Nothobranchius furzeri: one gene and its partners. The protein of the gene in region 1 purifies or fractionates together with the protein of each later gene. This does not show direct contact. Links are inferred from orthologs where the notes say so. Each region holds a gene or a part of one and is shown on either strand. Other genes may lie near its edges.

The links. Proteins that work in one complex are often made in the same cells at the same time.
Region 2: the proteins of arhgap12b (region 1) and asap1b purify together in Homo sapiens (co-immunoprecipitation; 3 studies listed by BioGRID and IntAct, with this or other methods). This does not show direct contact. The link is inferred for Nothobranchius furzeri from reciprocal best matches to the Homo sapiens genes ARHGAP12 and ASAP1.
Region 3: the proteins of arhgap12b (region 1) and tjp2a purify together in Homo sapiens (co-immunoprecipitation; 3 studies listed by BioGRID and IntAct, with this or other methods). This does not show direct contact. The link is inferred for Nothobranchius furzeri from reciprocal best matches to the Homo sapiens genes ARHGAP12 and TJP2.

What each region holds. Positions count from the first base shown.
Region 1 is NC_091751.1:39,417,192-39,422,294, forward strand, and holds part of arhgap12b (rho GTPase-activating protein 12b), read right to left. Parts: intron 1,176-5,103; coding exon 1,047-1,175; intron 544-1,046; coding exon 469-543; intron 15-468; coding exon 1-14. UniProt on the Homo sapiens protein: GTPase activator for the Rho-type GTPases by converting them to an inactive GDP-bound state.
Region 2 is NC_091747.1:45,634,534-45,639,636, forward strand, and holds part of asap1b (arf-GAP with SH3 domain, ANK repeat and PH domain-containing protein 1), read left to right. Parts: intron 1-378; coding exon 379-494; intron 495-581; coding exon 582-649; intron 650-1,033; coding exon 1,034-1,141; intron 1,142-5,103. UniProt on the Homo sapiens protein: Possesses phosphatidylinositol 4,5-bisphosphate-dependent GTPase-activating protein activity for ARF1 (ADP ribosylation factor 1) and ARF5 and a lesser activity towards ARF6.
Region 3 is NC_091746.1:73,890,511-73,895,613, reverse strand, and holds part of tjp2a (tight junction protein ZO-2a), read left to right. Parts: intron 1-1,430; coding exon 1,431-1,646; intron 1,647-1,767; coding exon 1,768-1,782; intron 1,783-5,103. UniProt on the Homo sapiens protein: Plays a role in tight junctions and adherens junctions. Acts as a positive regulator of RANKL-induced osteoclast differentiation, potentially via mediating downstream transcriptional activity.

The sequences.
Region 1 (5,103 bases):
CACTTCTCAGACGGCTGCAGACAGAAACAAGCAGCAGATGATGGCATTAAAAACAAACCCGGGAACCCCACCAGTTCAGCAGAGCCACGCAAGTCACCAAAACTCCCACAACCAGAGCAACAACAGCTTTCAGAGGAGAGGAAATGAAACCACTTTAACCACTGTTCCCACTCAGGACAGCAGAGATTATTCACATAGATTAGATCAAACAACTCTTCAGTGATTCAAAGACACACGCTCACACCAAGCAGCAAAGATCACATCCGTCTGAACTGTTCCAACACAGAAAGGATTCCATCAGTTTGGTTTGGGTTTCTCCAGTTTTGTTATAAAATATTTAATCTAATCGTTTGCGGGATTTCCAGTCCTGTGCAGGAACTCTGCAATATGCTGCAACCTGATTCGGTGCCTTACAACCCCAGAGGAGGATAAACCCTGCAGTGTGTGACGTTAGTGGTGAGTACTAACAGAGGCGGGGGGCTTTGGAGACGAACAGCACGAGTCAGAGGCAGGAGAAGGGGGCTTTGGGGACAGAGGAGCATCCTAATGAAGAGACAGAACAACAACATCGTCACAGACACGTAGAAGAGAAGATGATGTAAGGCTCAAGCAGCAGCTGTTCAGTACCTGTGGGTTTTAGTAGAAACACAAACATTCATCAACAAAAGATTCAGAAAAGTGTTTTCAGGTTAATTTGTTGTGTTGCTTAAAACCTGTTAAGGTCATTAATGATTAAAGGACCAATCAACTCAACCAGCAAACTGTGGAGAAAAATGTAATTATCACTGTGTGATTCTCCTCATGCACGGCGACTGGGTTTGTTCTGTTCAGATTACTGACTTTGGGTTTGTACGGGTGTGGCCGGGTGGAGCCTGAGCGAAAACGCCTGGTTTTTATCAGCCGCTGCAAAAGGAATGAGTCTAAATCTGACACTCAACAAACTCAGCCAGCGACACTGTCCTTGGTCTGCACACCGGCAGGACACCAACGGTCAGGAATAAGAGGAAACAACGGGTTTCTTAGCGAGTGCTTTGATGATGTCAAACCTTTTCGCTTGGCTCCTGGATGTAGGCGCTGTGTCTCCACTTTGTTAAAACGATGGGCTCCGCGATCTTACGGTCCAGGCTTTGAGTCTTTGAGACGTTCCCAGATAGCTGAGGTGGGGAGTGTTTATACTGCAGGACAGAGATGGACAACAAATAACCACTCAAATATGAGTCAGTCTGTGACAAAACCTTCCATGCAACTTTTATGATGTAGAAGGGCGTCGTTATTAATGAACTTGTTTTTAATCTGAATGTTTCTTACAGATTGTGTTTGCACATCATTTGTTCATCTTACATTAATCTGCTGTGGTCTCTAGTATGAATGAATGCTTTGTGAGCTGTTTTATGTGGAACAAAAGCTCTGGCGCTCCTGTTTCAGGGGGAAGATGATACTTTGTTCCATAAAAATGATGACTGGACCAACTCTTCTGTATTAGAAGATCAAGCCAGAGAGCCGCCCACTTTTATCCTGGTTCTGCTCGAGGTTTCTGCATGTTTCTCGTCCGGTGCTATCTGGTATCTACTGAATGTGATTCAGAGACTGCTGGACTGAACTGATTGTAAACATTTGTCTTTAAACCCAAACGTCTCCTGGTATGAACCAGGCTTCCTGCTAAAGCCCTGCTTTGGGACTGGTGTCCCACCAAACAGAGCAGGTGGGTGTAGACTGCTGCTGGCTGGAGCAGCACGTTAAAGACAGGCAGTGAGTCCCAATGCTGTTGGTAGAATGGAGAGTAAACATTAAGGTGGTAATAAAGTATGACGGAAGAGAAGAAAGCTAAAGGGAAGGACGTAAATCCTGAGATATGGAAAGCTGTGCATAATTTTTAAATACTACAGGAGCAGGCGGGGGTGCGTCAGACATAATCAGCAGGAGCAGGATTTTTAACTCATTCACTGCCATTGACGACTAAAGTCGTCATTTTAAATTCAACCGTTCACTGCCAATGACGACTTAAGTCGTCAATTGCAGTTTTTTACTGTGTAGACATCGGAACGAGCCCCCCACACAGTGTGAACAAACATCTCAGCTCTAAAGCCGATCTTCATCTGCATATGTCACATGATCAGGAAGCAGAAAACCCATGTGTTAGGAGATCGTTTTAGGCCGCTGCTGTAAAAAACGTGAGGCGCGAACCGAAAAAGATTCTGCCGATCACAATTCAACAACATATTATGAAAGAATGGATAACGCTCAAAACACGCGGATTCTTCCTGATGTAAGAGGTGAGTCTCTGCTTTGTTTTGGTTGTTTTGGCGTCGACATCATCCTAGCGTGCAACGTTCTGTGACTCTTAACAAAACATTAAAAACGGTGAGAAAAGCTGGCAGCGAAGTGCTTTACCAATCAGGAAACAGCTGGCAGCGAAAGAGTTAAAGAGTCCCATGCAGAGCTCTACTTCCTAATTTTGGTTGACACAAATAGCACAAATAAAACTATTTTTAATGAATTTATTAAATTTTTAAATTATTTGTAGCCTAGAATCTAGACCGTCATTTGCCGAAGCTAAAATATTTTTTCTTTGCACGTCGGTCTAGGCACGTTCCATTGAAACCTCCGCAAGCCCGGCCAGAATTGTAGCTGACCAATCACAGCTCGCTTATTTAGAAAAATTATGCATTGTTTCAGGTTTTATGTAGTTCCTCCACTATGTAATGGCGGACGTCCCACTGACTAACATCAGTGGGGGTCCAATCACAGTGCTCTAATGGGTTGGTGAGCCAATCACAGCACTCTGTAGGCTGGATGTTACTGAAAAAACAAAGATGGCCACAGCTTATTTAAAATGCCTTTAGCAACTACTTTGGACTATTCAGTCAAGAGCAGACAGATGTACTTAACTACTTAAAAAGGACGTATTTGCATCTCCTTTGACAACGTATGGCGGACTGCCTCGTTGACCGACATTTGTAGCTAGGGATGGGTACCGAATTCGGTACTTTTTAAGGTACCGACCGAATTCCATAGTACCGACTGAGCACCGATTCACGTCATTTGAAACGGTGCCTCGTTTCGGTACCCGTCCTTCATAACGAGAATTTGCCAAGACAGCTGCACATGTGCAAGAATGTTATGTCGTCGGTCGCTGCGAGCGAGTTGTAAACAGAGCAGCATGGTAGAAAGAACGCACGCCAATGGGCTCGACACACGGGAGGCGACATCGCCTCTCCTCCATTCATTTTCAATGAGACATGCGGGTCTCCCTCCTACCAAGCGAAATGCGAAAAACGTGCATGTGAAATTTTGCGCTCGTGCACGTGTCGTGCACAGGCGACCCAGCGACGCGATCCCAGAATGTCGAAACATTTTCAACTTTTCATCGCTGTTGCTCGGACGAGGACCAATCAAAGGAGGTTTCATTCACTGACCAATGAGCGAACAGGATGCTCCGTACACCTCCGAGCATACATGGAGGAGAAGTTGATTATTATTATGTCTTATATAGTAAAATCAGAAGTAAGATTTCACATAACTCTAACAGCACCTTGTGAAACATCATATCTACCAATTTTTTGACTCTGAATCGCTTAAATAACCTTAATTCTCTCCAACCTGATACAGCCAAGCAAAACAATGGAAGTTTCGATTTCGCCATGGAGCAGAACGCGTAGACGGCTTTGCCGCTGGCCGCTGCCGCAGATCGCCTCCCGTGTGTCAGGTAATAAAAGCGACAGCGACAAATTTCGCTGATCGCGGTCGTTTGTCACCTCCCGTGTGTCGAGCCCATAACTGGGTGATGATGAAACCAGCGACAACGATCTAAGTGAGACATCCTCATCTTAATCTGCTCTGGTAGGTAAATAAAATGTTTAAGATAATGTTAGCTTGATATGTTAGCTTCCGTTCTGCTAATGGTGCGTTCGCTTTCTCCTCGGAACTCCGAATTTCCGACTAGAAGAACATGAACGTGCACTAAAGTTTGGCTTCACTTTACTAAATGCGACAGGTGATTGGGTGAAGATGAAACCAGCGACAACGATCTAAGTGTGAGGCATCATCGTTTTAATCTGCTTCAGCAACTAAATAAACTGTTTAAGATAACGTTAGCTTGATATGTTAGCTTCCATTGCCACCATTTTTATCAGCTAATAGTGCGTTCGCTTTCTCCTCGGAAATTCTAACTTCCCAGTAGGAAAAATTAAATGAAAAAGGATGGCAAAAGGAATGAAGATATACAGTAAATTTAGTTCACAGTAAAGATGTTTGCTTCAGTTTTATTATCAACTTATAAAACTACAAGGACTATGTTAAAATACAAACAGTTGTATGTTATTTATCGTGAAATTGATCAAATATGGTTACAAATTGAGAAAAATTTGTATTTAATTAAGTGAATTAAAATATTAAACACTCAAAAGTATCGAAAATTGGTACCGTTAAGTACCGGTATCGATTCGTAGGTACCGGGAATTAGTACCGGATCGATTCAAATGTCAAAGGTACCCATCCCTATTTGTAGCAGTGAGAGAGAGAGCCACATCGTTTTATATCCAATAGCATGTGGGAACAGTTTGAAAGACAAGCGTAGACCCTGCCCCATGACTGAGAGCCGTTAACTCGTTCACTGCCAATGACAACTAAAGTCGTCATTTGCATGTTTTTACTGTGTGGGCATCGGAACGAGCCCCCGCACCGTGCGAACAAACATCCCAGCTCTAAAGCCGATCTTCATCCGCACACGTCACGTGATCAGGAAGCAGAAAATCCACGTGTTAGGAGATTGTGTTGGGCCGCTGATGTAAAAAAAAGTGAGGCGCGAACCGGAAAAGCTTCTGCCGATCACAATTCAACAACGCATTATGAAAGAACGAATAACACTCGAAACGCGCAGATTCTTCCTGATGTAAGAGGTGAGTCTACTCTTTGTTTTGGTAGTTTTGGTGTCGACATCATCCTAGCACGTAACGTTCTGTGACTTTAAAAAAAACTGTAAAAATGCTGAAAAACGCTGGCAGCGAAGGGCTTTACCGATCAGGAAACGGCTGGCAGTGAATGAGTTAATGGGCCGTGGCCAGACTACATATAGGATTATGTTTTTGAGTTTGTGGGCCCCTA
Region 2 (5,103 bases), on another chromosome or scaffold:
AATGTACTCAAACACATGTGATCCTGAAGAAAATCAGGGAGATTTAGTGAAAACAGGCAGGATTTTTACTCTATATTTGATCTGCAGTAAAGCCTGGAAGAGCTGAGGTGGCTTAACGCTGCACGGCTTCTATTCCCACAAGGCAAACACAAATGGGTCAAGCTCTTCCTCTCTGCTTTAATTTATTCTCCACCACAGCTCCACCAGCCTCCACAGGAAGAAGCAGGATTCTTGTTATTTAATAACCACACTTTTACAGTTTTAGCTTATTTAAAACGTGCTTTTCATACATTGTGTTACAACGGGAATGTATCCCTTTTGTAGGAAACGCCTCCAGGTGCCCTGACCATACGAGTCTGTTGTTTTTTTCCTCTGCAGTGGTAACCTGGATAAGCAGACGGAGTGGGGGAACACCGCCCTGCATTACTGCTGCATGTACGAGAAGCCCGAGTGCCTCAAGTTGCTACTGAGGGGCAAACCGGCCACAGACATCAGTGAGTCAGGGTTCAGCCACCCATAAGCACAAATCACGGTGTTTTATTTTCTACATATATTTTTTTTTCTCCCTTTTTTCATTTCAGCCAATCAGAATGGAGAGACGGCTCTGGATGTTGCCAGGCGACTGAGGAACAGTCAGTGTGAGGAGGCAGTAAGTTACAGGAGGCCGAGTGGCCGGATCTGACCAGAATGAGCCCTCCTGATTTAAAAACACGGACTAAATTACAGAAAGTGGAGGCTTCAAACGCTTTTGAAGCTGCAGCTGTTTGATGGGACGAGTGTGGATGAGTCTGAACACTAGATGGCAGCGGAGCTGCTGTCTCCATCCAGAAGGGACAGGAGCAGCCAAGTGGAAGGAATTGTTCATGTGTGTTTGTTATTAACGCAGATCTGAACAAGCAGAACCAACGGGGACAAAAATAAATCTAGTTTAGAGGGATTGAGCTTTGAAATCCTATCATAGTTTGCTTTTGCCATCTTGTTGTAGTTTCCCATAACAAGAGCAGCTTATAGATAGTTTTGTTGTCTCTTTCAGCTTGTCCAGGCTGCAGAGGGGAAGTTCAACCCTCACATCCATGTGGAGTATGAGTGGAGCCTCCGCCTGGAGGAGATGGACGAGAGTGATGACGACCTGGATGATAAGGTGCCTAAGCTGCTGAAATTTGCCCCCGGATTTAGAAAAACTTGTGAATTTTAAACAAAAAAAGGCAGCATTTAAGAAGATCCAGTAAAAAGTCACCCTGATGACCTTTTCTTCTGCCGTTCTGCTGGTGGATTATTGGATTTCAGTGAGAGCTAATCTCTGTAGCTTCACTTGCTGGAGGAGAGCTAGTATTCATTGTCTCTAATGTTCATCAAGTTAACAGCTGTTCTAGCCAAGACTGGCTGTGCATGCAAGAAAAACAAAGCATTATTTTTACTCTCTTTATAAAGTTGATGTACAACTGAATATGAGCTGTTTTCGCTTTAAAGGTGCAGTATGTAAAAATATTGTGAGAATTTTACAGCAAGAAAATCCCAAAGGTGCTTTTATAAGACACACCATGCCGGTAAATGGGCGTAATATTACCGCAATGGTATGTCTGCGTGGCTGCGTGAATTTTGCGGCATTCGTTCCGCCTCGCTTGGTAGTAATATTGCGGTAATGGTCTGTCGTATGCGCCCCGGCGCAACAGAGGCAGATGTCATGATGACGTGGGGAGTTATTGCTGAGCTCCGGCTGGCAAATCTATTGAAAATGAAAGTAAACACAGGCAATAAGGTTTGCTTTTTGTGCAAAATCAGCTGAGATGGCAAACTGGAGCGCCGCAGCGCTCCATGAGCCTTTTTGTTAGAGCTGAAGCTCAGATCACCAGAGACTGCACAGGGACTGATGGGGACAGACACCTTTAGGAGCTGCTTGTTAAATAAAGGTAACGATCACGGCTTCAATCGCAATAAAAAGCAAGTTATGTCCAAGATAAACGGAAGCCTGCGGCAGCGCAGAGCCCAGCCCCATACCCCCTTTATGCCGCCATCACCTAATCTTTTATAAAATTGCCACGATTGCGCCACATTACCGCCATGGTCTGATCTTATAAACAGCCTTTATCCTCCCTAGAGAGCCGCGGCAAATCCTGTATTGAAAATGCTATGGTCCTGTAAAAACAGCTCAAAACAGTCAAATGTTTCAGTCATGAAGCATGTTTCATATCCAGTTGGCTGCGGGGATTGTCAGTTTTTCCTCCTTTCCAAACAAAGGAAGGAGGGACGTCAGGGTTTCCCCCAGCGCCGCCAGGCTTTGCTTGGCCACCCGCTAGGCTAAGAGTCATGCCCCGCCCCCCTCCCCGACCCTACCGTGTCCGCTGACACGAACGGCGCAACGAAACTAGAGCCCCCCCATCACCTGATACTGTTGAGAAACAGCAGCAGAACGTGTGCAATCACCCCCGCTGTCACAGAGGAGCGCTGCGAGATGGAGCGCGCGATCCCCCCCTTCCCCGACGGCCGAATCCGCCAGGGTTAACTAATTTTCTGGGGGAAACCCTGGACGTAACTATTGTTTACCATCAGTGAGTGTGGGGTTGCCGTGTCCCCTGCAAGCTAATGCTGCAGCGCTGACAATTGTAATTTGACAATGGCCGGCAAACAGCTCCAGAGTTGTTTAAATTGGTGGCAGTTACTAAATTTTACCACAGGACGTAATTTTTACTTCATTTCGACACAATGCACCTTTAATGCAGAAATTTTAGGGCAAACAGATTTCTTAAAAAAAAAAAAAACTTTTTTTCTCCAGTATCCAGAGATTTGCTGCTCGTTATTTTTGTCAATAAAGATTTAAGTTGCTTCTTTGCCAAAAATGTGTAGAAAAAGTAAATTTTTCTACCTTGATTTTCAGAAATGTGCAGAAACCACATTGGGGGGCTGTTAGCTTGAGTCAGGTTTAGCTTTAAACGTCAAGAAGCTGTACACACGGGCATTTAAAACTGATGTTGTATTATTGAGTTAATATTTTGCAGTAACTTCATTGACTTGTTGAAAACGTTTTGAACTGGGAAGTGGCTTAAACTTTAGCGAAAGTCAAAAGCAGAGGCATGTGGCTCCAATGACACTCTTAGGCTTTTTCATGTCTAAATTTGAGAAGAAAACAAGATATTGATTTAAAAATGGAAGAAACAAGCATCAAAATGTTTCTTTGTGCTGAAGAAGAGCCTCCCTTCAGGTTTGTTTGTTTGTTCTTATTAAGATCCCCATTAGCCACTGTTAAAACAGTTGCTATTCTTCCTGGGGTCATATTATCATCATCAAATAAACATAAGGAATGCATCAACACTGGGCTCACAAGCAAACTATCCATTTTCATCTACAATATTCATATCCACTATAATGTAAAGGATGGGTAGTTTACATCTTACTTATGAACCATAAAATGTGAGATTCCATAGAAATATGAAATATCAATCTGATGGATCTTTGAATATTTTAACCAAAAGATCAGAACTTTTTATTGCAGGGATTAAACGACACTTCGTATTAACTCCAAGGAAAGAGAGAGAGTCAGGTTTAAAATAGTTAAGAAATTTATTTCTACACAATTTAATCAAGGCTAACTTTAACACTCTGTGTACTGATGGACTAAGGTGGGGTGAGACGTGATGAATGATGATGGTGTGTGTGTGTAATGTTATTCAGAACCAGCGGATCCGGAGAAGCAGTTAGTTCTGAGTAGGAGTGAATGTTTCGCTCTAAACTTTAGTAGGAGATTTATAACACACATGAAACGCCATCTGTCGGTCTACATACCCAGGGGAAGCCTCCGATCAGATCCAGAATGCCGAGGTCCTTGTGGACCCTCTTTGGTACCGAAGCCAGTAGAAAAGCAGCGGTGCTGACCAAACCAGTCTTGGAATGCTTCCAGGTCACGACAGGTTATCACTGGCGTCTCCGAGACCCTGAAGGGGTCGTGAGGTTCAGCTTTTATTCTGAAGGAACCGTTGCGGTCAGGTGTAACTTCCAACAGATTTTATCAAGCTTGTCTGAGGTTCTTTATGGCTGAAGAGGAAGTCCGCATGGCCTGTCCGAGACTCCTCTAGAACACTTTGAACTAAAGAAAAGGCGGCGTTGAATAGTCTTTATAATTGTCATATTTTGGTTTACTGGCGAATCAGAATTTGACATGCAAAAAGAGGGTTTATACAAACACCACAGAAAACCACACCTCATGCCAGAAACAAAGGTTCTGATTGGATCAGACAAAAGGAAATGTGTCGTGTGACTTTAGCATTATGTGTCCTTAGTGTCTAGTGCAAATGTCCAGGATTATTATTACTTGTAAAATACTACTGATCACAGGATTATAATATCAAGTAATAACATTGTCATTTCACAGATTGATTGAACATTGGGCTCACATTATTATTGGTAATTAACAAAGTTGTTGATTATGTGTTTATCAAAAGAGTGTTCTTCGTCTTGAGCTGTAACAGAGGTGAAGCAGTTCGAGAGGGTGCTCGCTGCAGAACTACAAAGGCGGAGCTGCACCATAAGGTGGAGCTGCACCAGAGTCAGCCCCGCCCATTCACGCAAACTCAGCCTAGCCCACTGACTTCCGTTTTTGTTTTCAACTTTATCGCAAACTGACCTGACCCACATGAATTACGGCTGTTACTAGTTTACAGTCGTTAATGCTATGTTCTATGCTCCAATTAAACAAGATAAATATAACTTGCTACATGACAAAGTCTGAATATATCCCGAAATAAAAAAGTTTCTCTTAGCGAATATCTGCCCACAGCCGCTCTAATAAAACTCCTGTACAACAGCATGTACCATCACCATGTGGGTTCTGTTAGTCCAGTGGCAAGATCGTTTGAGTTAAGTTTTGCTTTCCCCTCAGCTGATGCTGGTTCGATTCTCGGTGGGGTCGGCAACAATCTATTTAGCCAGCTGAAACATTGAATTTGTTCATATTTTAGTTGTAATGTTCATTTTCAGCAAAATATTTATGTCTCTACAAGTTCTTTGAATTTGGTCGTTCCTAAACAGCATTTTAGTTGAAACTCTGCTCACAGATGGACTCACACTGGCTAAATAAACGAATGAATAAATAAAAAAAACACATTAGTC
Region 3 (5,103 bases), on another chromosome or scaffold:
TGTTCAAGAGTGGCTTGACACACGGAATGCGACACCTGAATCCCATGTCTTTCATGAGTCTCCTCGTGGTGGTTCTTGAAGCGCTGACTCCAGCTGCAGTCCACTCTTTGTGGATCTCCCCCACATTTTTGAATGGGTTTGTCGTCACAATTCTCTGCAGGGTGCGGTTATCCCTAGAGCTTGTACACTTTTTTCTACCACATTTTTTCCGTCCCTTCGCCTGTCTGTTAATGTGCTTGGACACAGAGCTCTGCGAACAGCCAGCTTCTTTAGCAATCACCTTTTGTGTCTTGCCCTCCTTGTGCAAGGTGTCAATGATTGTCTTTTGGACAGCTTTTAAGTCAGAAGTCTTCCCCATGATTGTGGTGCCTTCAAAACAAGACTGAGGGACCTTTTAAAGGCCTTTGCAGGTGTTTTGAGTAAATCAGCTGATTAGAGTGGCAGCAGGTGTCTTCTATATTCAGCCTTTTCAGAATATTCTAATTTTTTGAGATACCAAATTTGGAGTTTTCATTAGTTGTCACTTATGAATATCAAATTTAAATGTAATGAACATTGGAAATACATTGGTCTGTGTGCATTGCATGAATATAATGTACAAGTTTCACGTTTTGAATGGAATTACTGAAATATTTTCAACCTTTTGATGATATTCTAATTTACTGGCCAGCACCTGTATAAAGCAGCCGCAGCGCCGCTACCTGCATATAAACCGTGTCACGGGCACCCCCATACTGAAATGACGCTATGCATTACGGGGCTCCCAGGGGCAGATAAGAGTTGGTCTCTCTCCGAGAATAATTATGTATTTAACAACGATTACTGCCTGATGACATTTTCCCACATCTGCAAAGCTCACTGGAAGGACACAAACCAAGGACGATATTTTCCTGATATAGGGTTTATTACTCAAGTAAGGGTAAAAAAGTATCTGATTAGAAGGCTACTGGAGTACTGAGTATCATCTGGTCTAATATTTTTAAAATGATGACATCAAACGGACAAAAAATAAGAAGTTATGGGCAATTCTTGGTATTTTAAAGACTAAAGGGAAAAATGTAAACAAATAAACAACATAATTACAAAATAACACATTTTAGGCTAAATTTAGACACAAACTGAGGACAATATTTTCCTGACATACAGGGTTTATTTAATTTTGTGAAAATGTAGCACGTTTAAAAAATAAATACCGCGATAATACCGAAAACCGTGGTAATTTTGGTCACAATAACCGTGAGGTAAAATTTTCACACCGTGTCGACCATATTTGTTTTACAGATATGTTGTAGCTGAAAGTCAAATCGTCTGGGAATTTATGTCGGTTGTTTTTCTCAACATAAAATGATCTTTTGTCCTGCGTTTTCTGAAAACTAACGGAAACCTACTTAACAAGTGTCTGAAATTCCCAAACTTTGCCCGTTGTTTAGTTGCGGACCCAGACTCGGAACGACTCCACCCGGAGCTACGAGTCCCAATCCAGCAGCACCATCAGCAGCAGCGACGCCGCTATGGGAAGCCGGCCGCTCCCCCCGCCCGTAGCTCAGAAACCCGCCATCGGCCGACTGAACCAGTCATCGGAGGAGCAGAGTACTGGGAAGGACGAAACGGAGGAAGATCCCGCCAACAAGTCCTTCCTCGGAAAGGTCAGCAGTAAAGCATACATCTGCTGCAGATGTTCCCCTCCTGCTTTTTCTGCCTTTCTTAACTGACTTTTATTTTCCTTCTTTTCTTCCTCCTTTGCTTTCTCTGTGAAATATGAAATAGCGAATGGGTCACCAGGTAACTACTAATGTCCGCACCCACTGTTTGTTTCAGGTCACAGGTAACGGGGTAATAAGGGGATCAGGCTAAATATAGAAACAAGAAGCATGAAAATATAATTATATTCACTCAAACTTAAACAGTCAATCGTACGAAAAAATATAAAAAAGTTTGAGGGTTCAAATCTCACTTTTGTGATTTTTAGTTGACCTCAGAGAAAATCTCAGTGTCTCCTTTAAATTTAGGTACTTTTGCCTTTAAAATAGTCTAATAATGAACATTTCAGTTAACATGTTATTTCTCTGGTCCATAAAGATGCCTTTGAATCCTAAAAATTCAGATTAACTCGTTCACTGCCATTGACGACTAGTCGTCATTTGCGTGTTTTTACTGTGTGGGCGTCGGACGAGCCCCCGCCTCTGTGAGAACAAACATCCCAGCTCTAAAGCCGATCTTCATCCGCGTACGTCACACGTCATGTGATCAGGAAGCAGAACATCCATGTGTTAGGAGATCGTTCTGGGCTGCTGCTGTAAAAAAAAAGTGAGGAGCGAACCGGAAAAGCGTCTGCCGATCACAATTCAACAACGGATTATGAAAGAACGGATAACGCTCGAAACGCGCAGATTCTTCCTGATGTAAGAGGTGAGTCTCCTCTTTGTTTTGGTTGTTTTGGCGTCGACATCATCCTAGCGCGCAACGTTCTGTCATCTTAAAACAACAGTCAAAATGGTGAGAAACGCTGGCAGCGTATGAGTTAAACATATTTAATATCATTAATTTTTTTTATTTTACAATTTTCTTTCAGAATAATTTGACATTCTCAACATACACCCATTTAATTTTCTGGCTCATAAACTGCTGTTGTGCGTTTTAAAACTTTAGGAAGATAATAAATGAAATGACTTTCCTAATGAATACAGACGAACGTTATTAAAGGTGTGGAGCACCGAAAACAATTTTTATTGAATATTTCTAATTAGAACGGTTCACTGTGAGTTTAACATGCAGGCTGAACATGAAATAGTTTCCTACACCTACCTCCTGGATTAGCTTCTGATAGAAAATAGGAGTAGAAAATCTTGACAGATCAATTCACCCTGTCACTAACATTCATGGACTCACCTATCTGCACTCACGGCGGGGAAGACTGTTGGTGGTTTAGCGTCCAGGAAACAGCAGAGAACGTCTCAGCTAGTAGAAGCTAACTGTTAGCATTAGCAACTCCACCACACAGCAGAACTCCTCCAGGCTTGTTTGTGGAGATAAAACATCAACGTTGCAGAGCGAACTTAGTCAGCGGTAGTTGTGTTGCGGTTAGCCAATCAGATGAGAGATGTGTAAATATCAGGAAATAAGACACTTAATCCTGTCGCCTGAAGCTCAACTCTGATCTGGATCGCTTCTAGTTTATAAAAACGATGATTTGTTTGTACTTTATACATTTTATGAATATTTTGTAGGAGAATTTAGTTTTATTTTGAATGTCGTTAAAGCCGTACCCGTTTGCTCCCTCAGCAAACCGAGCTGTGACCACGGACCGTACCATACTGGGATTTTAGGCATGCTGGTTCACCCCGATGCTTCCTAAAATAAGTGAGAAGTTAACGAACACAAATAACAGCTTAAAATGTACAACAAAGGACTTCGAGGTAAAATCAGCCGAGAGATTATTTCTGTACACCTAAAAGCCGTAGGAAGCCACCAGCCTAACCCCGTTCTGGCGTCTTCCTCAAGGTTCAAGGTCACTTTATTAATACCCACAGGTAAATTTGATTAGCCATGTGACACGAGAATTAGTGCCCAGGTTACACACAGCCACACACACAGACACACACAGATACACACAGACACACACAGACACACACAGACACACACAGACACACACAGCCGCACACAGATGCACACAGCCACACACAGATACACACAGATGCACACAGCCACACACAGATACACATAGACACACACAGATACACACAGACACACACAGACACACACAGATGCACACAGATGCACACAGCCACACACAGATACACACAGCCGCACACAGCCACACACAGATACACATAGACACACACAGATACACACAGATACACACAGATGCACACAGCCACACACAGATACACACAGACACACACAGATACACACAGCCACACACAGATACACACAGCCACACACAGATACACATACAGGTGCTGGCCAGTAAATTAGAATATCATCAAAAGGTTGAAAATATTTCAGTAATTCCATTCAAAACGTGAAACTTGTACATTATATTCATGCAATGCACACAGACCAATGTATTTCCAATGTTCATTACATTTAAATTTGATATTCATAAGTGACAACTAATGAAAACTCCAAATTTGGTATCTCAAAAAATTAGAATATTCTGAAAAGGCTGAATATAGAAGACACCTGCTGCCACTCTAATCAGCTGATTTACTCAAAACACCTGCAAAGGCCTTTAAAAGGTCCCTCAGTCTTGTTTTGAAGGCACCACAATCATGGGGAAGACTTCTGACTTAACAGCTGTCCAAAAGACAATCATTGACACCTTGCACAAGGAGGGCAAGACACAAAAGGTGATTGCTAAAGAAGCTGGCTGTTCGCAGAGCTCTGTGTCCAAGCACATTAACAGACAGGCGAAGGGACGGAAAAAATGTGGTAGAAAAAAGTGTACAAGCTCTAGGGATAACCGCACCCTGCAGAGAATTGTGACGACAAACCCATTCAAAAATGTGGGAGAGATCCACAAAGAGTGGACTGCAGCTGGAGTCAGCGCTTCAAGAACCACCATGAGGAGACTCATGAAAGACATGGGATTCAGGTGTCGCATTCCGTGTGTCAAGCCACTCTTGAACATGAAACAGCGCAAGAAGCGTCTCGCCTGGGCCAAGGACAAAAAGGACTGGACTGATGCTGAGTGGTCCAAAGTTATGTTTTCTGATGAAAGCAAGTTCTGCATTTCCTTTGGAAATCAAGGACCCAGAGTCTGGAGGAAGAGCGGAGAAGCACAGAATCCACGTTGCATGAGGTCCAGTGTAAAGTTTCCACCGTCAGTGATGGTGTGGGGTGCCATGTCATCTGCCGGTGTTGGCCCACTCTGTTTCCTGAGGTCCAGGGTCAATGCAGCCGTCTACCAGGAAGTTTTAGAGCACTTCATGCTTCCTGCTGCTGACCAACTTTATGGGGATGCAGACTTCACCTTTCAACAGGACTTGGCACCTGCACACAGTGCCAAAACCACCAGCACCTGGTTCAAGGACCATGGTATCCCTGTCCTTGATTGGCCAGCAAACTCGCCTGACCTTAACCCCATAGAAAATCTATGGGGTA